Rattus norvegicus: one gene and its partners. The protein of the gene in region 5 interacts with the protein of the main gene of each other region in a pairwise test. Links are inferred from orthologs where the notes say so. Each region holds a gene or a part of one and is shown on either strand. Other genes may lie near its edges. The genes, in order: Dusp19, Poldip2, Zmat1, Lonrf1, Alas1 and Cdc73.

Region 1 (4,044 bases), on a different chromosome or scaffold from region 5:
AGTTCCCCATAGGTATTGTGGGCAGATAACTCCACTTGAAAGAGAAAAACTTTGGTTCCTATGTCAGGTGTCCATAACAAGAAACTAAAAACTGTGTAGTTTAAGCAAGAAAAATTTACTTCTCGTGGTTTGAAGGCCAAGAAGTCCAAAATCAAGGTGCTGGCCTATGCAAGGCTGCTGGTGTGTTTGTTCCCCTTCCTTGACACCCACTTCTCCCAACTTCCTTGCTTAATCCTGCTTTATCTAGGGAAGGAAGAGTTCTCCTTTGTTCTCACAAAACCATTAATCTTGTTATATGTTTTAATATAATATTAATTATCCCCCAGAGATCCTATTTCCAAATATCTGAACACTTGGGCTCCTAATTCCAACTCATTTTGAAGGGGCACAAAAATTCAGCTCATAAACTTACTTTTATGTCAGAATGTTTTGAAAGCAACAAAATGTTTGTATGCACTGAAGAATACATTTTTTCTAAATCTTAAAACGTTATACATTGTACTTAAATTACCTTAAAATTACACTTTAGTAAGGGTTAATAAGGAAAATTTCAGTTGAAGGAATAGTGGTTTCCATTTGCAAAAACCAATCGTCTTTTGCAGGCAGACTCGGCATGCTATTGATCTGTTTGGTAAATGTTTGTTTTCCCAACTACGTATAGAATTACTACCATTCATTCTGTATAAGGCACGGGAAGGTCAGAATACACTTAAATTTTAACTTTTGCTAGTCTGTAGAAACGTATATTTAAAACGACTTTTTAATGTAGATTTTACCCCGTTGGAGCCTCACAAACAGACTGAATGTTTTTATCTAGTGAATGTTTCTTCTAAGAGTAACAGCAGAGAGAAAAAGAGTGAGGCAGAAGGCAGACCCTGTAGCCTTAGGCCTCTGTGAGCCACGGGAGGACTCACAACCGGGTGGGAAAAGGTCTTGGTGACAGCTGCTGTCTTCATTGTCATCTCTGTAACCAGTCGAACAATCCCAGAAAAATCACTGCCCTTAGAAAGCTACGAGATATCAGCTCTCTGTAAATGAGTCTCAAAAATGACTATTCCCCCCGGGTCCAAAATAAAGCTAGGATTAAAAACCGTGAGTAAAAACAGGATACGGTAAGAAGATTCTGAATGGATCCGGAAGGCATAAGACTTCCGTCAGCGGATGAGAAATAGCATCCAATCGGCGCCCGTTTCTTAGCGGCCAATCAGCTCTCGCCTTACAACGGTGTTCGGGACAGCGGTGCTGGGCTGCTCTCTTCTCTCCAGGAGGTGAGGTTGTCACTGCAGGGGCCAGCTCCGCTAAGTGACTAGTGGCTGACTAGCCCTGCAGCGTGCAGTGCCTTCCCCCCCCTTCTTTCTTTCTTTTTTTTTTTCCTTGCTGCTTTTCCTCCTTCGCTCATGTAATGCACTCCCTGAACCAAGAAATCAAAGCATTCTCCCGGGATAATCTCAGGAAGCAGTGCACCAGGGTGACCACGCTAACTGGAAAGAAACTTATAGAAACTTGGAAAGATGCCACAGTTCATGTTGTGGAAACAGAGACCAGCGGTGGGGGTGGTTGTGGCTATGTGCAGGACCTTACCTTGGACCTGCAAGTTGGCGTTATTAAGCCCTGGTTGCTTCTGGGTGAGTAAACTGACTTGCCACTACGTTGTGGAGAACTGGATTCCTTCATCAGCAGACTCCCCTGTGCATACCAATCCCCTATGCACAATAATATTATCAGCTATCCTGATGAAGAGTTGAAATGCTTACTTTTTGTAAGTTAGGAAAAAGTAGGGACCTGTCTGCCCTCACAATTCTTCTAAAAACACCAGATGATTGAGTTTTAGAAGAAATATTCCTCTATTTTTCTAACCTTCTTTAAAGGATAATGGGATGTTGTATTTTCTTGTATTATAGAAAAGACTATATCCTTTAAAAGATGCAGTAATAACAAGTGGTTCCATGGTTGTGGAAACGACATTGAAAGCGTGTTTCCTACGGCTGCCTCTGCTCATGGTGGCTGTCTTTGGGTGTTAAAAACAAGACTTCTACTTCATAGCTATGAGCCTGGTGGTGTTCTTTAGAAACCAGCCTATTCCATAAGTCTGCATTGCTTTGCATTTATAAATGAGAAATTAACACTTGGACACAGGAGTTAGACATACCCACAGGATTAGCTATACACAGTATATAATTGTTATAACGATCTTCAAGTAGGAATTATCTTCATATTACAAATAGGAATTGGGCATTAAGATTGGGGAAGTAATTTGTGAAGGCAATAGAGTCAGTAAATAGCAGAGTTGTCCAGGGGATTAGGTCCAAGTCTGACTGACTCTGCACACTATCATAGTACTACATTGTTTAAGGTTAAACTTACGGGCCGGGGAGATGGCTCAGTGGTTAAGAGCACTGACTGTGCTTCCAGAGGTCCTGAGTTCAAATCCCAGCAACCACATGGTGGCTCACAACCGTCTAATGAGATCTGAGGTCTTCTTCTGATCTGTCTGAAGACAGCTACAGAGTACTTATATATAATAAATATGTTTTTAAAAAAAAGGTCAGACTTACATTACATGTTCCAACTTATTTATCCTCTCAAAACTTCCAAAAAACATCTGCTTACAATAATTTTAGTTTTTTTATTTTATTTTATGTGCATGTGTTGCATGTGTGTATGCACGTGTACTGTGTCTTGGAGGTCAGAAGAGCTCATTAGATTTTCTCTAGCTGGGTTCAGATGGTTGTGAACCACCATGAATGCTGGGAACTGAACCTCAGTTCTTTGCAAGAACAACAAGTGCACACAGCCTCTGATCCACCTCTCCAGCTCCTCTCTGCTGTAATTGAAGTGACATCCTATAAGGTTGTTCTGGCATTGTGAATTTTTTTTATTTTTTTATTTTTTGCAAAAACTCAAGTTATACCATGTATCCTAAGAATTGCCATATACACCTTTAGGTTGATTAAATAAATAAGACCATAAATATCGCAGTTTAGGGGAAAATACCATCGTTTAACCAAATGAAAAGCAAAAAGTTAAGTTAATTCTTTGGATGAGCTGGATGGTTCAGATCTTGTATGTTTCTAAGAATGAGAATATGTATATGCAGCCTTTTCTGACCTCCATAGTTGATCACAAACTCTTCTCTGTCATTAGTCTCTCTCTCTCCCTCTCACCCCCTCTTTTCCTTTCTCTCTGTTACATATACAATAAACAGAAAAACGTGAACAGATAAGCAAATACATTCTTTAAAAAAGAGTCTTTTTTTTCCTTTTTTTCGGAGCTGGGGACCGAACCTAGAGCCTTGCGCTTGCTAGGCAAGCACTCTACCACTGAGCTAAATCCTCAACCCAAAAAAGAATTTTAATTGGCTGCAATTATAGCTGTTCCAGAAGCTGAGGCAGGATAATAACTAGTTCAAGGCCTGCCTGGGCTCCAGAGTAACATTGGGTTGAGCAACATAGAGAGAGTGAGTGATAGAGTTCTTGCCTCAACACCACAGACAAATACACCAGACACACAGGGTTTATGTTTATATCAATATAATTTGGTAGTCACTTAGAAAATACAACTGTTTCTGTAATGTAGTCGACCGAGAGAGAGAGAGAGAGAGAGAGAGAGAGAGAGAGAGAGAGAGAGAGAGAGGATTACCAAAGCAATAAGTGTAGGGTGAAAAGGAAAATAATTTCATTTAAGCCATGTTACAATTTTTACTATTTTCTTATACAAACAGAATAGAATAATTAGTTAAAAGATACGTTACTAAACTATTAAACTAAAATTAATTTATCTGAACCTGTTTTCCCACCCCAACACAATTAAAACTTCCTACAGTAGAAAACTGAGAATCACCTTTTAGTCATGAAGCATTTGAAATGGATAGAAGGACAGGCTGGTGAGAGGACAGACAGTTTCTGTACCCACTATCCATATTTACCGAATGCTTGTGGTTTGGAAGTCCAACTTCCAAGTAGGAAGAAGCAGAATACACATTCTGCTTATCAGGTTTAGTAGGGAACCTCTCAGCTTGGAATCACTGTGTACTTGTGGCCCTCA
Region 2 (3,500 bases), on a different chromosome or scaffold from region 5:
GCTCCAGAAAAGTAAGTTTTTCTCTGTCCTATCTCATGGTGTCCTCAGGTGGCCTGACTTGTCTATATGCAGTTGGGGTAAAAACAGCATCCCCTTGGTCTTTAGAAATAACCCCAAGCCAGGCATGGTACTGCACACATTTAAATCCCAGCACTTGGGGGGGCTGGAGAGATGGCTCAGCGGTTAGGAGCACTGACTGCCCTTCCAGAGGTCCTGAGTTCAATTCCCAGAAACCACATAGTGGCTCACAACCATCTGTAATGGGATCCGATGCCCTCTTCTGGTGTGTCTGAAGAGAGCTACAGTGTACTCATATAAATAAAATAAATTTAAAAATTTGGGCTGGGGATTTAGCTCAGTAGTAGAGCGCTTGCCTAGCAAGCGCAAGGCCCTCAGTTCGGTCCCCAGTTCCGGAAAAAAAAAGAAAAAAAAAATCCCAGCACTTGGGAGGCAGAGGCAGAAGGATCTTTGTGAGTTCAAGGCCAATGTGGTCTACAGAGTAAGTTCAAGGCCAATGTGGTCTACAGAGTGAGTTCAAGGACAGCAAAAAAGCCAGAGCTTTGTAGAGAGACCCTGTTTCAAAAAAAACAAAACAAAACAAATAGGAAAAAAAAAAATAACCCAGCCAACTAAAATAAAAGAAATAATTCCAGCCTGTTTCTCTGGCACTCGCCCCCATGGAGACAAAAGTTTTAAGTATATGGGGTCTCTTTGGGCCTCCCCAGAACCCGTCTGCCCTTCCTTTTTATAAACTCCTACTGCTCTCCCTTTTCATAATCCAAACCCCAGAGGATGTTCTAGGGGATTGCTTCTGTTTTTACTTCCTTTCTTTAAAAAAAAAAAAAGATTTATTTGTTTTTATTTTGTGTATATGGATTTCTTTTTGCCTGGATGTGTCTGTGCACAGTGCTCAGGGAGGCCAGAAAAGGGAGCTGGAGTCTCTGAGACTAGAGTTACAGATGGTTGTGAGCCGCCATGTGAGTGTTGGGAACCAAACCTGGGTCCTCCCCAGGTTTAGAGCAGCCAGTGCCCTTTAAACACAGCCATCTTCTACCCCTTCCTTATGAGTATTACTAGTCTTACTTTTTTATTTACTTAAATATTATTTATTACATAGCCCTGGTTGTCCTAAACACATAGAGATCTGTGTCTCTGCCTCTTGTCAAACCAGTGCTGGGGAGGGCATGAGTCAGCACACCAGGCTCTTCTTGGTTCCTCCCTTTCTGAGGGTTTTATTTTATAGAATGTATATTAGTGTTCTGCCTGCATGCAGGACTTTTTGCCACATTCATGCAGTGCTCCTGGAGGCCAGAAGAGGGTGTAGATTCCTCAGAACTTGAGTTAAAAACTGTGTGACCTTCTTGTGGGTGCTGGAAACTAAACTTGGGTCCTTTAGAAGAGCAGCTGGTGCTCTCAACCACTAAGCCCTCTTTCTAGCCCTGCTTCTTGGTTTCTTGATGTCCAGTTGGAAATCTTTCTGTTAATCTCACATCATCAATAAGGTACATTAAAAGAGGGAAGTTCCGGGGTTGGGGATTTAGCTCAGTGGTAGAGCGCTTGCCTAGGAAGCGCAAGGCCCTGGGTTCGGTCCCCAGCTCCGAAAAAAAAGAACCAAAAAAAAAAAAAAAAAAAAAAAAGAGGGAAGTTCCACACATAATCACAGCTAACCCTGGGGCGAAAGAAGTATAAGGTTCTCGTGGCCTTGGGGCTCACATACCAAGTGGACTTTTTTGTCCTGGCCCTCTTCAAGGAGGTGCCCAGAGTGGTAACTGCAGGGGCCCTGGGGATTCCATCGTTTGCCCTGACTAGGGAGAGGCTGGCTGGAGGTGTGTTGAGCAAAAGCCAACCTATGCCAAAACCCCTTTAGATCATGAACCAGGCCATTTAGGAGAGGAGATGGCAATGAACGGAGCCAAGCGCAGCTTGTTCCCCTCTGGGGTGACCTAGGCTGCTTCTCATCCCACAGAGCAGAGAACCCTGCTGGCCATGGCTCTAAGGAGGTGAAAGGCAAAACTCACACTTACTATCAAGTGCTGATTGATGCCCGTGACTGCCCACATATAGTAAGTAAGCAATGTGTGTGGGTCTGGGGTCCTCTCCATGGGAAAGGATTTTACTCCTTTAGGGACAAAGAGGGGTCAGAGAGAGCTCAAGTCAGCTCTGGGCCTTAAGGCCTCAGGACTGGGTGGTAGCTAAGGAACCTTTGAATCACCTTTTGCTTTAGTCTCAGAGATCTCAGACAGAAGCTGTGACTTTCTTGGCTAACCATGATGACAGCCGGGCCCTCTATGCCATCCCAGGTGAGGAGTTAGCATCCAAATGGTACCTGAGGAGCAGGGGTCTGGTGTCTGAGGGAGTGGAATCTGATGTTTTATCATCTGCTGGGAGGGATCATGGTACTGAGAACTGTGATGCCAGGGTCGCCTACCTTGGGCAAGGCCAGAAGGTATTTCCTCTCAGTTTCATTCTTGTGCTGTCTGAGTCTTACCAGCTCTGTCTCTGTGCCAGGCTTGGACTATGTCAGCCATGAAGACATCCTCCCCTACACCTCCACGGATCAGGTTCCCATCCAGCATGAGCTCTTTGAGAGATTCCTTCTCTATGACCAGACAAAAGGTAGTCTCTCAGCAAAGGGGAAGTGGGTGGCTTGCCCAGGACCATGGTTTGGACTAATGCGCCGTCTCTTCTAGCCCCTCCCTTTGTGGCTCGAGAGACGCTCCGGGCCTGGCAAGAGAAGAATCACCCATGGCTGGAGCTCTCAGACGTGCACCGGGAGACGACCGAGAGCATCCGTGTCACCGTCATCCCCTTCTACATGGGCATGAGGGTGTGTGCCTGTCTGCCTGGGCTTCTTCCTTCAGGGCTTCCCAGATTCAGTGTGGTATCCTCATGTGACTAAAGTGTTGGGAGTGGGAGTGTATCTGAACCTAAGCCCTCCCCCACAGTTCTGCCTTCAAGTGCTCATGTGCATATGCAGGGTAGGGTTGAGGTAGCCTCTTGATAATGGCCAGCATCATGACCATAGACCCATAGACCAGAAAGTAGTCCTTCATGCCAGCTTTCCTCTAATAGAGGAGATCTTTCTTGTGAGAAATACATACATACTTGCCTGAATCAGTGTGGATTGTCACACTTTATCTTTAATAGCTGGATATTTACTGATCTGTGTCTTGCCTCACTTTAAGCTAGGCCTACAGATACAAGTATAAATGGAAGACTTCCTCACTCAGACACGGGATGTCAGCATCCGTCAGAGCAGGACAGTAAGAGGGCTGTGAGGACAGGTCAGGCTGGCAGGGACACTGGTGAGAACAGAGCCCTGTAGTGGATTTCTGCTAGCATCCAGCTCTGTTGATTTTGACAGGATTATAGAGGGGGCAGAACAGGAAGGATGCAGGGAGGCTCTTGGCCATAGTTTTCCCACAGTCATCACTGGCTCCAGTCACAGCTTCATCAGCCTCTGCGCCTTCAGGAATACTTCACTTGAGATATGTTGATTG
Region 3 (3,952 bases), on a different chromosome or scaffold from region 5:
AAATTGAATTTATCCTTTACAAACAGCTATGTCATTTTCACTATAGACAGTTAGCATATTTTAACAGATCTCAAAGTCGAATTAAGTAAGCTAGAATTGTCTTCAGATTGTAGCAGATGCTGCTTGTTGAAATTACTCATCCTAAAATTACCAAAAAGTGAAAGACTAGCTGGAGTTAGTTTTAGTAGAATAGAAATACTGTCACTTTGCTGATGGAAGTCACCACTTTCCCTTATGTTTTTCTAGTGCTCTTAGACAGTCCTATGGTTAGTCAGAGAATATTCATGAATCCTCTGGCCAGGACAACTTTGTACATATTGTTCCCTCATTTCAGAGAGTAATTCTCTGATGTTTTTACTTTGCCTTGCCCACTTTGACCCTGGAAGAAATGCTGACTCTACCTGACTACCTTCTTGACGTGTCTCTCTGTGCTTGTGGCCAGGTTTGCTCCATTCCACATAGCTTACAGTTCTGTCTTTTCCTTCTAATTTGGTGTTTTACCTGGGATTTGGCTTCTAATTTGGTGTTTTACCTGGGATTTAGTTTGCATGTAAATTCATGCTTCTAGCTGCTTCCAAGTCCTGACAAGCAGATATTACATACATTGCCTAGGCTTTTGACTTCTAACGTGATTTATTCTGTTTCATATCTATAGGTATCCATCATATTCAAGAGATACAAATTCTGAGGACACAGAATGTTCTCTTAAAGCATAGAAAATTATTGTTTGATTATTTAATAAGCATACTTAAGTTATGTGTGCATAGGCAATCTGGATGAGACTGCTGTCAAATAAATAGCAGAATACAGCAAATTTAATCTTAAAGGTCTTTAAGCGGCTTTGTGATGCTTGAATCAGGCAATGCTTCGTTTCATGGAGCAAATAAATGCTTCAATGACGTGAACAGAGGATTGGTAAACAAAGAGAAATTGAAGAAAACATACATAAATAACAAACTGGGTTAGCTGTTCCAAGGTCCTTTGACAGAAGATATATAGAGAGAACGAAAGAAAATGCACTGATTTGTTAACTGTCGGTTACTTCAGGTTACTTTGGTGGCTAAAGATTGGAAACAGGGAGGACTTCATTATCATGCCTACTGTAACTGGCCTGTTTGAGAGACTGCACTGTTATCTTTCAGTTTTGGAAGGTCAGATAACTCGCTTCAGTAGGAGTAGCAATATTTTGATATTTATTGTGCTCTGTCAGGGCTTCATGCAAGAGCTTACACTCCAAAACAATGGCCTCCTCTAATTTTTATCTAATATAAAGTAGGACATTTGGCACACATTATAGAGCAGTTTTGAACCAGTATAAAACATGTCTTTCAGATTTTATTGTATCTTGTTTCTCTTATAAGAGAACAGCACTCTTTTTCTTTTCATTTCAGCTCATCCTAAATTCATTTGCAAATTGAGGTCGTTGTTTTAGTTCATCACGTCAAAACAAAGGAATAATAGAACTCCTTAGCCCCTCTTTAAGCAAATGATTACAACTTAAGATGATACCTTTGTTAAGCTCTCAAGATGCCAGAGAAACATTTCTGGAAATTTACATTTTACATAGATGAAGTCTACAGCCTTATAGATTCGTTTACTTTCTAAATGTTGGAGTAAGGGATCTTGGTTAGTTGGGTTTCACAAAGAAAGTCTCTTGGAATTGAAAAATGGTTTATTTACCTTTTATAAATAGAAACATCGCAGTAGCTCTGTTATTCCCAACCTTGGGGAATAACTCAAAGAACAGTTATGGAAGCTGTCTGTAATATATCTGCGAAGGCATCCACCGGACTGAAAAGTCTCAGAAGACCTTATCTGCCTGTCAGATCTTAGCAAAAGTACACCAGCAGAATGTGGGATTGTTCCTAAACTACCTACCTATATAATAGGGACTAAATATTTTTATAAGCTTCCTACTTTCTGCCAATACTAAAGAACCAGTCCATGCTTACAAATCATAAATGTCTGTAACCAAATATTAGAGACTGGCTAGCATCCATATTACTTTTTTCTTCACTGTGAGTGAATACCTAACAGAAACAACTCAAGGGAGGAAAGGTTTAGTTTGGCTTACAGTTTGAGGAGATACGGTTGATCTTGGGAGGGAAGGCTTGGCAGCGAGGACTCCATCCATGGCAGCGGGGGCTCCATCCACGGAAGCGGTGGCTCCGTCCACGGAAGCGAGGACTCCATCCACGGAAGCGAGGGCTCCATCCACGGAAGCGAGGGCTCCATCCACGGAAGCGAGGGCTCCATCCACGGAAGCGAGGGCTCCATCCAGGGTAGCGGGGACTCCATTCTTGGCAGCGGGCCTGTGTTGCAGCTTGTTGATGCATAGCTTGGGCCAGGAAGCAGAGATGAAACTGGAAGCAGGTCCAGGCTACAACTAACCCTCAAGACCTGCCTCCAGTGACGAACTTCCTCAGCCCAGCTCCACCTTCTCAGAGTTTTGGAACCTCCCCAAACAGCACTGCCAGCTAGGGACCAAGTGTTATATTCAAACTGTAGTTTTCCTCCAAAGGTTCATGACTATCTCATAAAACAAATATATTTAGTCCAACTTTAAAAATACCCACAGTCTTATATTCTCAACACCAATATAAGGGGACCAAGATGTTTAAAGTGCAAAGTCTCGGGCAAACTCTAAGTTATAAGTTCTAATTAAAAAAAAAAAAAAATCCAGGCTCTGGAGGGATGGCTCAGTGTTTAAGAGTACATGATGCTTTTGCAGAAGGACCTAAGTTCAGGTCCTGGTACCCATATGGCGGCTCACAACCATCTGTAAACTCCAGTTCTGGTGGATATAACCCCCTCTTTTGGCCTCTGTGGGCAGTGCATGCACCTGCTACATCTACCCACAGGCAAATGCCGATACACATAGAATAAAAGAATTGAAAGAACATAAAAGATCCAAGTTCCATACTTCCAGTGTACAATGGCACAGAATCAACATTCCCATTTCAAAAGTAAGGAGTGGAAGAAGAGGAAGGTAAGAGCAGAGAAAAATAAGACCAGCGCACCTCAGGACAATCATTAATCCCTGCAGCTCTATGTCCAGTATTAGAGTTCACGAGGATACTGTGGAGGCTCTGATGGACTTGGGGAACCTTGGCTCTCCAGCCTTGCTTCCTGGAGTATCCATGTTCTCTCTCCTGCATTGGCTCTACCCAATGTTTTCAACTTTCCTCAGCAGGTGTTTGACCTTTCTAGCATCTCCTGCATCTAAGTGTCTCCATTGCAACTTTGGGTTCTCTTTAACACCTACACACAGCAGCCTATTGGGACCTCGATTCAGAGAATTTGGCTCTGTTACTCATTGCCTAACCTCATAGGATTTTTTCCTCTGAAGTTTTGGGTCAAGACTTCATGGTCACAAAACTATTGATTATACTAACAAGCTTTCCTGCCAGCTTTGTAATGTAGTCTGGCCCTGGTGCACATTAGCTCTAGTGGCCTCCAAGTACTTGAATGGCCAAACCAGGGAAAACATTTCCCCATTTCATCAGGGTACCCTAAGGTTCTTCCCTTTTCACACATTCTGCTTTTATATATTTATTTTTAATTTGTGGATAAGGTGGAGTGGGGCATGGGCATGTGGATGCTCATGGAAATCGGAAGAAGACACTGATCTCCTGGAACTGGAGTAATAGAGGGTGTGAACCACACAGGCCCCTTGCAAGAATACTGTGTGATATTAGCTACTGAGACATCACTCCAGTTTTAGCAGTCTAGTTTTAAATCCAGGTTTCAAAGTGAGTTTGTATTGTTGTACCTTGGAGCTGTGGGTGGTTGGGAGCTTATCCTGAAGGCACTAATCTCACTGTTCTAGTGAATTTTTTGTGGTTGCTTTTTAACGATACCAATTCCTTTAACAATTGTACTCACTGTATACACAGCATGTCTACTATTTTAAGTATGTTCATACACCTTTATTTACTAAACAGTATAATTT
Region 4 (4,127 bases), on a different chromosome or scaffold from region 5:
TGCTCATTGTTTAGTATAAAGACACTTTTGAACTGTTATTACCTATTCTGTGTAAGCAGGAACAATTAATTGTTAGACAATTTTAGACAGCATGACCTTTGACATTCCATCCAATTGCTTTATTTGAAGATCTCTGGTTAAAAATATTTGAAGATAATTTTATTAAACATTATATATATATATATATATATGATACTATCACTGTGAGATCTTAAAATCTTTTCAATACTGACTGTATGATTTCAGACTGAATTATTTCCTGTTATCAAGTATTTGAAAAAGAAGCCTTAAATCTCTTCCTACATTACCAACCCAGTACTCTGTAATCAAGTCTATAAATATTTCCATTGAGATACCTGATGCTTTCACATTTAGAGGAACTAGAACCCATTACATATGAGCCAAACTATCTTCAATCGACCAAGCTGCAGAACGCTTGCATCGTGGTGATCTGGTTTCTGCCACAGCGAAAATGTTTTTCTCCTGTTTTCTCATTTAAAAAACTTTAAGCAACTGTGGGTTAGTGTGTATGAAGGATGTGGAGCACACCTGAGGACATGGGGACTTTCACTCTCTAAGTGTACATGTGGTTTATTTAATAGTTTAATGTTTTTTGGTGTATTGCACTTTTAAAATTAAAGTTTACAAATCGCTCACAAAGTATTGGGTTTCTTTTGGACAGTTCGTTTCTGTCATTTTCTCTTAATAAACTTCATCACAAGTCAGCACTAACCAAGCACCAAGAAAAACTCTTGCGTGCTGGGAGGAAGTGGTCTCAGTAACATGAAATATGTGTGTCTAGAGTTGGCCGATTTCAGATTTGAGTCTCAAAGTAATCACACCGTGCATGTGCATTCGCAGTCCCTCTACTTGTTCTGGCCAGCAGAAACCCTGGGCATCCAGACCCACCCAAGGCTTCCATCTACGGCCAGGAGGGGTCTAAGTATCTACTCATGTGCGGCAGGTTTGGGGTCACAGCACTGCTGGTGCCCACACGAACAGCATAGCACCCACTATAGGCCTGGGGACCAGCCACGATTACAAGAGGTGTCAGCTCGCAGGCCGCCTGGGAGACTTCAGGCTTTGTTCAGTCAGGAGCCAAGCCTCCTTGTCAGAGAAGCCAATTAGATCCCCGCTGGGGATCATCTGATCTCGCGTCCCTCACCAGGAGGGGCTCAGAAAGGGTGGGACAGGCCGGCCAGCTCTCCGGTACTGGGCGGCCGGCCGCGTGTCGGGAGGCCGGGCGCGGAAGCCAAGGCCCGCCCCTCTCCGTCTCGCTAAGCTCCGCCCCTCTCCCCAGGCCCCGCCCCTAGGGGCTCCCCGGGCGCGCGCCGCCCCGCCATGTCCGCGCGCCACGCCCCCCTGCTCGCCGGCCGCGTGCGGAGCCGCGCGCCCCGGAGGTTCCCGGACCGTGGCGGCGGGCGGCGACGGAGGAGCAGCCCTGCGCGGGCCATGTCTTCTCCGGCCGTGGCGAGGGCGTCCCCGGGCGGGAATCGGGAGACGGCCGGCGGACCGCGGAGCCGGAACGGGCCGTGGGAAGTGGGCGGCGGCGAGCGGTTGGAGCGCGCGGGCGCGGAGCCGGGGCGCTGGGAGCTTCTGCTCCGCCGCGGCGAGCTGCTGGCGCTGGGCGGCCACCTGAAGGGAGCGCTGGAGGCGTTCGCGGCTGCGCTGCGCCGCGGGGCCCCGGCCAGGCCCGAGCGCCTCGGTTCGCTAGTGGACTGCCTGGTGTTCAGCTACCGGCTCCGTCACGGGCTGCGCTGGAGCGCGGCACCCGCCGCGGGCGCGGCCGGGCTGCTCAGCTGCCTGGGCTGCCGGGGCTTCCTAAGTGAGCCGGTGACCGTGCCGTGCGGCCACAGCTACTGTCGCCGTTGCCTACGGAGGGAACTGCGCGCCCGCTGCCGCCTGTGCCGGGACCGTCTGCCACCCGCCGCCGCCGCCTCCGAGGGGACCCCGCGGCCGCCGCCCCTGGCCGCCGCCATCGCCGACTTCCGAACCAGCGTCGTGCTCAACCACCTGGCGGAGAAGTGGTTCCCGGGCCAGCGCGAGCGCGCGCGGGCGGCCGGCCGCCTCGGGGAGCTACTACACGAAGGACGCTACCGGGAGGCCCTGGCCGCCGCCTGCGACGCTCTGCGAGCAGGTGATGCGGGGCTGCGGTGCGGGACTGGCGAGCGGGGATTGCGAGTGTGGGAGGGGGCGGCGCCCCGGGGTGCTTCGGTCACGGTGGGGATCGCCTGGGAGCCTCAAGTGACGCGGCGCAGGGAGGGGCGCGGATGCGAGGTTCCCTCGTGCGCGCGCCGAGCGGGGACCTGGGGCGGCGGAGCTTGGGCGCGGGGTGGGTGGGGGCCACAGGCTTCCCTCTGTGAGCTGGCTGGGAACCCCAGCCGGGGTGGGGCGAGCATCCCCGGGCTTGGCGGGGCTTGGGGGTACCGCGTCTACCTTGGTCATGCACTAAAGTCACCGGGGCAATTAGAAGCCGCGGGAGGGCAGAATTGCATAAGCTGGGTGGGGGGGCGTTGTGTAACGGGTGACGTTCGGTGGGCGTGGCGGGAGCCCGGCGCGGGCACCGGCACCCGGAGGCCCAGCGGCGGCCCAGCTCTGAGTTGGTGACCGGTTGCCCGCGAGGTGGTCACCTCTTCTTACCTAAAGGATCGCTTGCTCCAGGAACCTCCACCTGCCTATCTCACATTCTGCTTCCTTGGACCTCTGTGCGTGCTCCCACACATTCCTGGTGTTGGTAGAGAAGTAGCCTCCTATGACGAGTTTGCCTTACTCAGTGTAGACCTGTGAGGGGAAGCTTTGTAGGTCTTTTGCTTATATCCAAGAACAGCGTTGTCCAGTTTACTGGAGATGGCTTTTAGACTGCGGATAAAGGGGTCATTGTAAACTTAGTAAAGCCAAGAGTTCTTTAAATCCTCGAACTCGGTTGTTCTCTACTGAGGTGGTGGTGGTACTTACCTCCTAGAGATTTTTACATCAGGGACCCTTATCTAGTAAAGCATCTAGAGACATCTTTGAATGGCCACCTCTTGTAGAAGTCCTGTCAGTACAGACATCTAGTGGCCCGTCCAAGGATGTTGCTAAACATTCCTAAGCTCACAGCCACCTACGTGAAAGACTGATCAAGCCCAAATGTCAACTGTATCATAGTTGGTCACCTGGTGTTGGGCATGCTTTGTGTGTCTGTGGGCTGCCATGAGAAATTACATACAGTATTAATCCCCAGGAAATGAGTGACATTGGGAATTTGAACTGATTTTAGGTATTAGGTAAGTTATAAACTTGTAACTGAAATTATTACTTTGACTCTTTTAGTCATACTGAGGAAGTTGACAGTAGCTTCAGGCATACCCTTCTGGCACGTTTTCATCCTCTTCTGGCAGCTTCATGAGCAGGCACTCATAAACTAAAACGACAAACCCAGAGTGATAGAACACTTGGGGATGCACAGTTCTGCTGGGGATGACTCTGGATATCTGGGTGGATAAAGTTGAGTGGGGGAAGCTGGACCTGACTGATCATCCAGTATCAGGCTTCTGTCAGACCTTAAGGAGGAAGCAGAGACAGGGCAGGTGACTTAACAACAGTCACTTGGGTGGTGGCTTGTATAGGCAGCTTAGACCCTCCACTTCCCAACATTCTCTGCCCAGCATTGAGATCCTCGGGTCTACCAGGATATCATCTTGAACAGAAAAGGCTGCGAATGATGAATTCTGTCGCTTCCAAGCTTCATAGACCGCATGTGAGATTTGCCCACAGGCCACATAACCACACTTTTTTCAAGACTCGAATTCAAGTCTCTGGCCTTTCACTTTATTATGTTATAGGGTTTTTTTTTTCCTTATTCATAGGCTTGTCAGAAAAATCAGTAATTCTCCACCCGAATATGCATCTCAATGATACTAATGATGATATTTTTTTCTCTTGAATTCTTTGTGCGAGATAAAAAGAGAACAATTAAAGAGCCAAACATATTTTAGTTGGTCGGGGGCAAATGTGTATGTGTTTCATAATTTATGGGCATTAATAAGAGTGGGCGGATAGCTCAGGGGTAGCAAGCTCGCCTGGCATGCGCAGCGTTCTGCTTTGTATCCCTAGCCTTCCAAACAACCCACCACAGTGTGTCAGTT
Region 5 (3,975 bases):
CCTCTCAGTCAGCGCCTTAGGGGAAGGCAGCCTATGTATCCAAGTAACAAAAGCTTGCTTTAATTGCTCGCCTGCTTTAATAAATTTGGCCATGATGATTTGGGTCAGTGGTCTTTCTCCTCTCATCTTTTGGATTAACACAGAGAGCTAGACCTCTCAGTTGGTGTGCATTACAACCAGCAAGGACTTTGGACTATGCTCCGTATAAAAACAAAACACAAACAAGGGCTAATTAAGTGTTGTGGCCCGGGTTATGATTCCCAGTGTTTGAAACAGAAGCGGGAATCTGGCAAAGTTGGAAGCCATCCTGGTCCACAAAGTGAGACCCTGATTCAACAAAATGACACAAAAACGGGGTCAGGGACGCAGTTCAATAAGGGTAGTCTTTGCCAAGCATGCAGAAGACCCTAGATTCCATCCTCAGTGCTGCATCCTGTAGGCATGGCGGCTCCTACCTGCAATCCCAGCACTGGGGAGGTAGAGACAGGATGCCTCCAAGGTTGGCTACATAGCAACTTTGAGGACAGTATGGTGTGACTACATGAGACCTTGTCTCAAATTAAAAAACAAGATAATTTAGCTGTTCAATCCTGTGTCAGGCCCTGTGCTGTCATGACACCCTCACCATCTGGGTGACTAGAACTGTGGAGCTATGAGCTCCATCTAGTCAGTTCCTCTGTTCCCTGCTCTCTCTTTTCTTCAATTCGGATCAGAACGTATCACCCTTCTGCGGCTGCTTCTTCAATCCCGTGTCTGCAGCCCCTTAGCATCTCTTCACCAGGACCATTCTATTCTTGGGCCATTCATCAAGTAAAGAATCCCTGTCATCGATGCAAACAAAACCAAGCAAGCCCCTCGTTGATCTGATCTTAAGACCCTGGCGTGAAACCCCTTCCTGTGCGCCCAATAAACCTTTTTACCAGGGTGGGTTTGGTTTACGACCTACGCCGGGGGCCCAGGAGTCTGACGCACAGGGCTGTTCGTGGAAGGTGAAAGAGGGACGAAGGGTAGAGATCCAAAAAGGGACTTGCCCGTCCACTGCCCTGCTCTCCTGGCTCAGGCAGCGTAGGCCTAAGACATAGTCACAAGAGTTGGAGCAGAGCCCACACAGAGGGACCTGGCACCCTGCCGGGCCGACTCCGGTGCGCGTGCGCGCGGCAGGCCGCACCCACAGCGCATGCGCAGCGGTCACCCCCGGCTCTATATTAGGCCAACAGCGGCCCTAGCCGAGGCTGTTCGTGAAGAAGGGCACTGGTCGGTTTAGCGTCCTCCGCTCGAGTGCCCACCGCCGTCTCGTCGAGAGCCCGCGCAGGTGAGGGCCACGCTCGGTGGTCGCGGGAACCCGGCGCGCCCCGCCACCGCGGCCACATGCCCATCCCCCTCCGGGCACCACCTTGGCTCAGCGTTCATCCCCCCTCTTTACCTCTTGGGCTACCTCAGACGCCCCACTACGTGCCCTTCTGACATTCGGCGTTTTGACAGGCGCCTTCAGAACTTCTTTCTTACCCTTTCCATTCTGACCCCAGAGAACCTCTGACTCACTGCTGACCCCCTTCCACCAGTCAGGCTCTGCATTGTCTAGCCCTGCTCCTGACCGAGTCAGCCCTGCCCTTACCCTTCTTTCTGCCTCCTTTCCCTGTTCTAGCTGTAGGGACATGACCTTGTCTCGGGGACTCAGGGCTGGTCTAGACTCTTCCCCCTTCCTGGGGTTGCTAGGATCCCAGGGAGTCCTCCCTAGCTGGATAGGTGACAGTGACTTTTCCCCTGGCCTTGCTATTGCTCCTGGGTGTGTGCTAAAGTGTCTTAACCTACAGTGTACACCCTTCAAGGAGCCTCTGGCCTCCGACACCAGTTCTGCCTTGTTCTTCATCTCTACATCCTTAGTTATTGGTCGTCCCTACTTACTCTGGTAAAGTTGCTTAGGGGATGGGAGGGTTTCTCTAGAAGTAGAGAATGTAGAAGTTGGTGACCTGGGTAGAGTGTGGCTCCCATGCCTTTACTGAGCTCTGTTGGTTGCTGTCCTTAGTTTGGTTTGGTTTGGTTTGGTTTTGAGTGGGATGTGTGTCTGGGCCTCCCTTAATGTCACTCATCATGGACTCTTGTACAGGACCCGGGACACTTTGCAGACATGGAGACTGTCGTTCGCAGATGCCCATTCTTATCCCGAGTCCCTCAGGCCTTTCTGCAGAAGGCAGGGAAATCTCTGCTGTTCTATGCTCAAAACTGCCCCAAGATGATGGAAGTCGGGGCCAAGCCGGCTCCTCGGACCGTGTCCACTTCAGCAGCACAGTGCCAGCAGGTCAAAGAAACCCCTCCAGCCAATGAGAGTAAGTAGTTGGCAGTGAGGGAAGATGTCCTTGGTGGTGAAGGCCACTCTGAGGGAGCCTTACTCCATCAGGATCAACCCTTGTGTATGGGGAGCGGGGGGGTCATCTTGTGGAACTGTCCCTCTGACTCCTGAGTTAGGGGCTAAAAATCTGTCTAGTATCTTGAGGGAGCATCTCACTCTGTGTCCTAGGCTATCCCAGAACTCACTGTGTAGTCTAGGCTGGCCATGAAGTCAGGACCTCACCTCAGCCTCCCAAGCGCTGATACCACAGGCCTGAGTTACCACTGTTAGTTCGTTCCTTTGGTCCAGGGGGCCAGAAGAGGGAGTCACAGACTTGTGAGCCACTGTCGTTTTCCCCTTCAAGCAAAACAAACAAACTATATATATATATATATATATATATATATATATATATATATATATGTGTGTGTGTGTGTGTGTGTGTGTGTGTATAATATTACCATTTTAGTTTAGTTTTTTTTTTTTTTTAATCAGAGTCTCATAATATAGCCAGATTGCCCTCCAACTTACGGCAATCCTCCTGCCTCAGCCTTAATTGTAAGCATGCACCACCTCAGTTACCATGCCCGTGTTAATCAGTGCAGCGTGTGACTCACAGTATTGCATACACCCGTGTTGTTCTGCCACCACCATCCAATTCCTGAACTTTCTTCATCTTCCCAAACTGAAAAGGGCGGCCATTAAACATTAACTCCCATACTCCTTCCCCCAGTGCCTGGCAGCCACCACTCTACCACTGGGCCAGTTGCCTTACGTAAGTGAGGCACGGTGTTTGTTAGTGTTTGTCAGGGCATGGACCTGCCCCGTACAGGTGGCGGGCTTCTCAAGGCCACTTACTCCTTCCTGGTGAGCCCTTCATCTTTCAGGCTTCTCTTCGGTGTGTCGAAGGACTGTTTGTTCTTCTAGTGGGCAGGACTTTCCTGCCAGGAGTTAATTGTCTTTTCTCAGAATGTCTGTGGTGGCCATGTTTTGAGGTAGAATGCTCCTTTTCCCTTCCATTGTTCTAGACTTTCCATAACAGATCTGCAATCCTTGTTAAAAAAAAAAAATCAAGTTAGTTTCAAAATACCATTTCTTGACTTGTCTTTATAGAAAATGTTATGGAAACTGTATTGAGACACCTTATCCAAGTTGTAGAAAGAGCAGCCAGTGACTCATGGGAGTATTCCAATATGATGAAGGAAGACTTTTCTAGAAGGAAGGTGAGCACATTGCTCAAGGGCTCAAGGAGTGACTGTAACTTAGAGCGCAAAGCCAGCCTGCTGTGCTGGGTCAGCAGCTTCCTTTGAACTTCGATGAGAAAGTAGGTGAGGTGAGCCCTCTGTGAATCCAACCTGCCTACGCCTTTTAATAGCCCTGGTAGTTTGGGGACAGTTTGAAGATCTAAGGGACAGCCTGTTTTTCCTTTCTTTCTCTCTTTCTCTCTCTTTCTTTCTTTCTTTCTTTTTTCTTTTTAAGATTTATTTATTTAATATATATGAGTGCACTGTCACTGTCTCCAGACACACCAGAAGAGGGCATCAGATCCCATTACAGATGGCTGTGAACCACCATGTGGTTGCTGGGATTTGAACTCAGGACCTCTGGAAGAGCAGTCAGTGCTCTTAGCCGCTGAGCCATCTCTC
Region 6 (4,264 bases), on a different chromosome or scaffold from region 5:
CCTTAAAGACATAAATTAATCAAAAAGAGAAATTGGTTGGAAATGATTTGTATATAAAATAAAATTCATAAAAACTATTGTTGACTTTCTTAACTCGTCTTGAAACCTATAATGCACTTATTACCTCAAACTTTACTAGGAGACTTTATCTTTTCACTTACTAACTCAATATTTTCTAGGTGTTGTTACTGTATCAAGTACAGTGCAGACGACCAAGATGTACTACATGTCATACAGTCGTTTCATTTCCTAGGAGGTAGGCAAGCAAATAAAGGGGACAAGGAAATACTGGGTACTGTGATATATAGGTATAAGTCCAGATGTGAAAGGGACAGTCGAGCAAAGTCAGTTCTTTATAAGCCGCATTTGCCGTGAGGTTCAGAGACACATTGAAGGGAGAAAACCGTTTGTGAGGCAGACATTCTTTTAACCTCATACATCCATACCCGGAGAACTCTTTGCCACACATAACAAAAGTTCATGCCCCCCCCCCCAAAACCCAATAGATCAAAGTATTTGGTTTTATAAGTAACAAAGTGTGCCTCCTTCTCACCAAGAGTGAAAAAGAAATATTAGGCTTGAAGTGTATGTTTAAGTTACACAGGCCATGTAAAGTATCAGAATTCTAGGTTCCCCTAACATAAAGTCACCGGTAAACCTTTTGAGGTTTGATGTTTAGTATTTCTTCCACTCACAACCTGGAATCATTTGAGGCTTTTTTTGGGGCGGGGGGCGGTTACCCGGGAGAAGCTGCCGTTGCCGGGATGGAAAAAAGTTGTTTCCAAGGAAAGAGGCGGCGTGGGGGAGGGGGTGGTCAACAATGAATTGTATTTCGTCGACGCGTTAGGATGCTTTCAACTTATTCTCATATTAATTTTACTCCGTTCACCAATCAATCGATGTTAGGAGACCAGCGACTAACAAACGGTTCCAGAATTGTTCTTCACCTAACTCTTCTTTTCCTCTTTGCAAATCTACTCCTAATGAAAACCTAGCCTTAACTTGAAAACGTCCACATTCCAAAGTTCAAGCTTTCCCTAGTAGCTTATCCTGCCCACGGGGACCTATTTCGCTGAGTGCGGCTCAGATGAAGGCAGAAAGAGGGGGAAGCCTTCAACACAGGGAAGCGAAGCCTGGCGCAGGGAAAGTAAATCACCCAGTGCGCGCTCTGGGATCGAAAGTGCGGAAGCGCCCAGCAGGTGCGCGCGCACCTGTCGCTCGCCTCGGAACCCGCGCCGGGCGCGATTCCGCTAAGGCTCAGCACCCCGGGAGCGCCCAGGCTGGCTCCCGGTTTCCCAGAGTCGGCGGCGTGCCCCGCGGGCGTCTGGGAGGCGCGTCTGCTCGGGCGGCCGCGGCGCCCCCTGGCGGCGGCCCGCGGCCCTGGCGGAGCGTGGGTCAGTCAGGCGTTCTCCGCGGGCAGCCCGCGGCGGGGCCTTGCCTTATATAGCGCGGGGTCCTTGGCGGCCTGGGTGGCTTCTGCCCGTGCTGCTGTCGTAGACGCGGACGGCTGTTAGTGTGGTGGCTGTTGGTTCGCGGCGGCGGCGGCGGGGGAAGAGGGCGAGGCGACGGGGAAAGGAGGCGGCGGGCGCGGCGGCGACGGCGGTGCCCGGGGCCCGCGGCGGCGGCGGCTGTAGCAGCGAGGGGGGCGAAGATGGCGGACGTGCTCAGCGTCCTGCGACAGTACAACATCCAGAAGAAGGAGATTGTGGTCAAGGGGGATGAAGTGATCTTCGGGGAGTTCTCCTGGCCCAAGAATGTGAAGACCAACTATGTAGTTTGGGGGTAAGTGCGGCATGGCTTTGGCCTAGTGGTGGCCGGGCAGCGTCGGGCGCCCCCGGGCGACCTCTTCCCTTAAGCCCTCCTCCTCCGGAGTCCCTCGGGGATGAGAGGAAAATATGGGTGCTCTGGGAAAAAGTTATTCTCTGGAGCAGAAGTTGTACTTTTAGGGTGAGGAGGGAAGAAGTGGAGCGGATTCTAGAGCGGTCAAGTCTTTTCTGTGTTGGAGAAGCCAAGGGGAAAGGTACCATGGGAGTTTCCGACTTGCCAGTCGGTGTTCAGTATGTACAGGTTGTCCGCGCTGTGTAGGGCTGCTGCACGTCTACCTGAACGGAGGTATAGAAGCAGACATCGATCCCAGCATCTGGCGTCCACCGAGTCGCTTTTTGTTCTTAGTTGTTTTTTGTAATCTCCCAGAGGCTGCCATGTGTTGCAACTGTCTCCTCTGGCTCTTCGAGCGTCCCGGTAATTTTCTTTTCTTTTTTTCATAATAGGGGAGGCTGATATTAAAAAAGAGGGAATAGACAAGTACTCCTTACAGTTTAGGAAAGATGGGAGAGTTTGGAAGTCTGCAAACATCAGTATTGGAGAGGAAAGCAAGACTTTGTTGGGGAGAAAGTTATTGGTGAAATGCAGTGAGTTTTACATACGGGTCTGAGAAATTGATCCTATGTGCTTTTCAAAAAGCGCTTTCAAAGAAAAACGAAGCGTTTGGGAAGGTTGATTCGTGGATGCCATGAACTTAAGTCGTTGAGGAAATCACAGAGTATCAAGTTAATAATCAAAGATAATCCTTTGGGTCCCCTTTAATCATGATACTGCCATTGATGCTTCTCTTTGATAATTAGAATCATGAGTCAGACTTTTGGTACTCATGACTTTATGAATGATCAATTAAAAACGAGAAAATGTTAAGATTTCTTTGGACTTACTGAGTTCCTTTTTGAAATGTTGATTAAGTGACATTTTGAGTTTCCCATGTTTTACTGTTTCAGATACGTTACACAGAATTATTTTATTGGGTTTTAATGAATATTTTTTCTTTAAAAACCCGTGGGATAAAAGAAGTTTAACTTGGAAAAAAAAAAGTTCCTTCCTTAAGCTATTTTGACTAGAAAAAGTGGAACAGATTAAGTTGATCTGAAATGTTTCCTAGCTGATAGGAAGAGAACAGTTGTTTACTTGTGGGTGGGGCGGTATTTAGAAAAGTGTGTTTTGTCCATTCTACAAAGCCTGGAATAAATGAATGAACAGATGAGTAAACTTTAAAGAACAGCTAAGAATTTGAGTGAGATAGTGGGATAGCCTTCCAGTGCTGGGGACTATAGACTTGAGACTTAAGACATGAGACTTGGGAAGGACATGCTTTGACAAGAGTGTACAGAGGAGTGAAAAGTAAAACTTAGAAGGAATTTAAAACTTTCAACATCAAATCTTCAACAGAAGTTATATCTCTACATGAATTCACATCTCACTGTGTGTATCTCTAAAAGACTAGTTAGTACCCTTAATGCATTCAGCGCTTTCTGCTATTTTATGATAATTACTTTGTATATTAATTAACAATGAATGATTTGACATATCACTTCAGAGCAGTGGTTCTCAACCTGTGGGTTGGAAGTGTGGGAAGACCCTCACAGGGGTCTCCTACGGCCATCAGAAAACATAGGTACATTTATAACAGTAGCAAAGTTAAGAGTTACGAAGTAGCAACGAAAATTATTTTTTAGTTGGAGGTCACCAGAACAAGAAGAATTGTATTAAAGAGTTGTAGCATTAGGAGGGCTGAGAACCACTTGCTTAGAGTAAAAGTGATAATAGAGGCTAGTAAAGGAGGTTTAGGACAAAATAAAGTGAGCTGTATTTAAATGGATTCCTACAGTTGAACCATCATAAGTAGATGGAGGAGAAAGGAAGGGATTGCAAAGTGGTGTGTGCGTTAGCATTAGAGAACTTGTATCCCCAAGACTACATTACTTGATCACAGTATTTTAGTTTTGCTTTATTGGTTTAGTTTGAGAGATGTTATAAGGATCATCTCCTTGGAGTACATCCTTTTAACTTTCAGAGTATTGTTGAAGATGTTGTATAGCAGTATCTTTTTTAGAATTATAAGATGTATATCTTTTAAGTGCATCCTTAGTAATACCTTCATCTAGTTTGTTTTCTATGATAATCCTTTCCATTGTGCAGCTGGTTGGATTTTTTTTTTTTTATTTTTTCTGTTGACAGAGTCCAGAACTCAAGTCTTATTTTAAAATATGTATACATATTTAGAGTTGGGATTGAGGATGTAGCTCAGTTGGTGTGATGCTTGCTTAGTATGTATGGGTTTCGGCACTTGATCCCCAACACCACATGCAAAGAAATATGGTGGAGTGTACATGCTGTCCTCAGCTGTGTAGCAGAGTTGAGGCTAGCTGGGATACATGAGACCTTGCCTGTCTTTTTTTTTTTTTTTTTTTTCTATTCTTTTTTTTTGGAGCTG

The links.
Region 1: the proteins of Alas1 (region 5) and Dusp19 interact in a two-hybrid assay, tested with the Homo sapiens proteins (3 studies listed by BioGRID and IntAct). The two-hybrid records come from large-scale screens. The link is inferred for Rattus norvegicus from reciprocal best matches to the Homo sapiens genes ALAS1 and DUSP19.
Region 2: the proteins of Alas1 (region 5) and Poldip2 interact in binary tests that used the Homo sapiens proteins (3 or more experiments, as listed by UniProt). The two-hybrid records come from large-scale screens. The link is inferred for Rattus norvegicus from reciprocal best matches to the Homo sapiens genes ALAS1 and POLDIP2.
Region 3: the proteins of Alas1 (region 5) and Zmat1 interact in a two-hybrid assay, tested with the Homo sapiens proteins (2 studies listed by BioGRID). The two-hybrid records come from large-scale screens. The link is inferred for Rattus norvegicus from reciprocal best matches to the Homo sapiens genes ALAS1 and ZMAT1.
Region 4: the proteins of Alas1 (region 5) and Lonrf1 interact in binary tests that used the Homo sapiens proteins (3 or more experiments, as listed by UniProt). The two-hybrid records come from large-scale screens. The link is inferred for Rattus norvegicus from reciprocal best matches to the Homo sapiens genes ALAS1 and LONRF1.
Region 6: the proteins of Alas1 (region 5) and Cdc73 interact in a two-hybrid assay, tested with the Homo sapiens proteins (3 studies listed by BioGRID and IntAct). The two-hybrid records come from large-scale screens. The link is inferred for Rattus norvegicus from reciprocal best matches to the Homo sapiens genes ALAS1 and CDC73.

The regions. Positions count from the first base shown.
Region 1 is NC_086021.1:85,944,059-85,948,102, forward strand, and holds the start of Dusp19 (dual specificity protein phosphatase 19), read left to right. Parts: upstream 1-1,244; 5' UTR 1,245-1,402; coding exon 1,403-1,625; intron 1,626-4,044.
Region 2 is NC_086028.1:63,908,287-63,911,786, forward strand, and holds part of Poldip2 (polymerase delta-interacting protein 2), read left to right. Parts: coding exon 1-11; intron 12-1,966; coding exon 1,967-2,063; intron 2,064-2,224; coding exon 2,225-2,300; intron 2,301-2,508; coding exon 2,509-2,616; intron 2,617-2,690; coding exon 2,691-2,827; intron 2,828-3,500. UniProt on the Homo sapiens protein: Involved in DNA damage tolerance by regulating translesion synthesis (TLS) of templates carrying DNA damage lesions such as 8oxoG and abasic sites.
Region 3 is NC_086039.1:102,507,699-102,511,650, forward strand, and holds the start of Zmat1 (zinc finger matrin-type protein 1), read right to left. Parts: upstream 2,801-3,952; 5' UTR 2,337-2,800; coding exon 2,075-2,336; intron 1-2,074.
Region 4 is NC_086034.1:62,686,604-62,690,730, forward strand, and holds the start of Lonrf1 (LON peptidase N-terminal domain and RING finger protein 1), read left to right. Parts: upstream 1-1,327; 5' UTR 1,328-1,341; coding exon 1,342-2,137; intron 2,138-4,127.
Region 5 is NC_086026.1:115,765,843-115,769,817, reverse strand, and holds the start of Alas1 (5-aminolevulinate synthase, non-specific, mitochondrial precursor), read left to right. Parts: upstream 1-1,175; 5' UTR 1,176-1,312; intron 1,313-2,107; 5' UTR 2,108-2,128; coding exon 2,129-2,327; intron 2,328-3,975.
Region 6 is NC_086031.1:57,997,232-58,001,495, reverse strand, and holds the start of Cdc73 (parafibromin), read left to right. Parts: upstream 1-1,464; 5' UTR 1,465-1,651; coding exon 1,652-1,782; intron 1,783-4,264.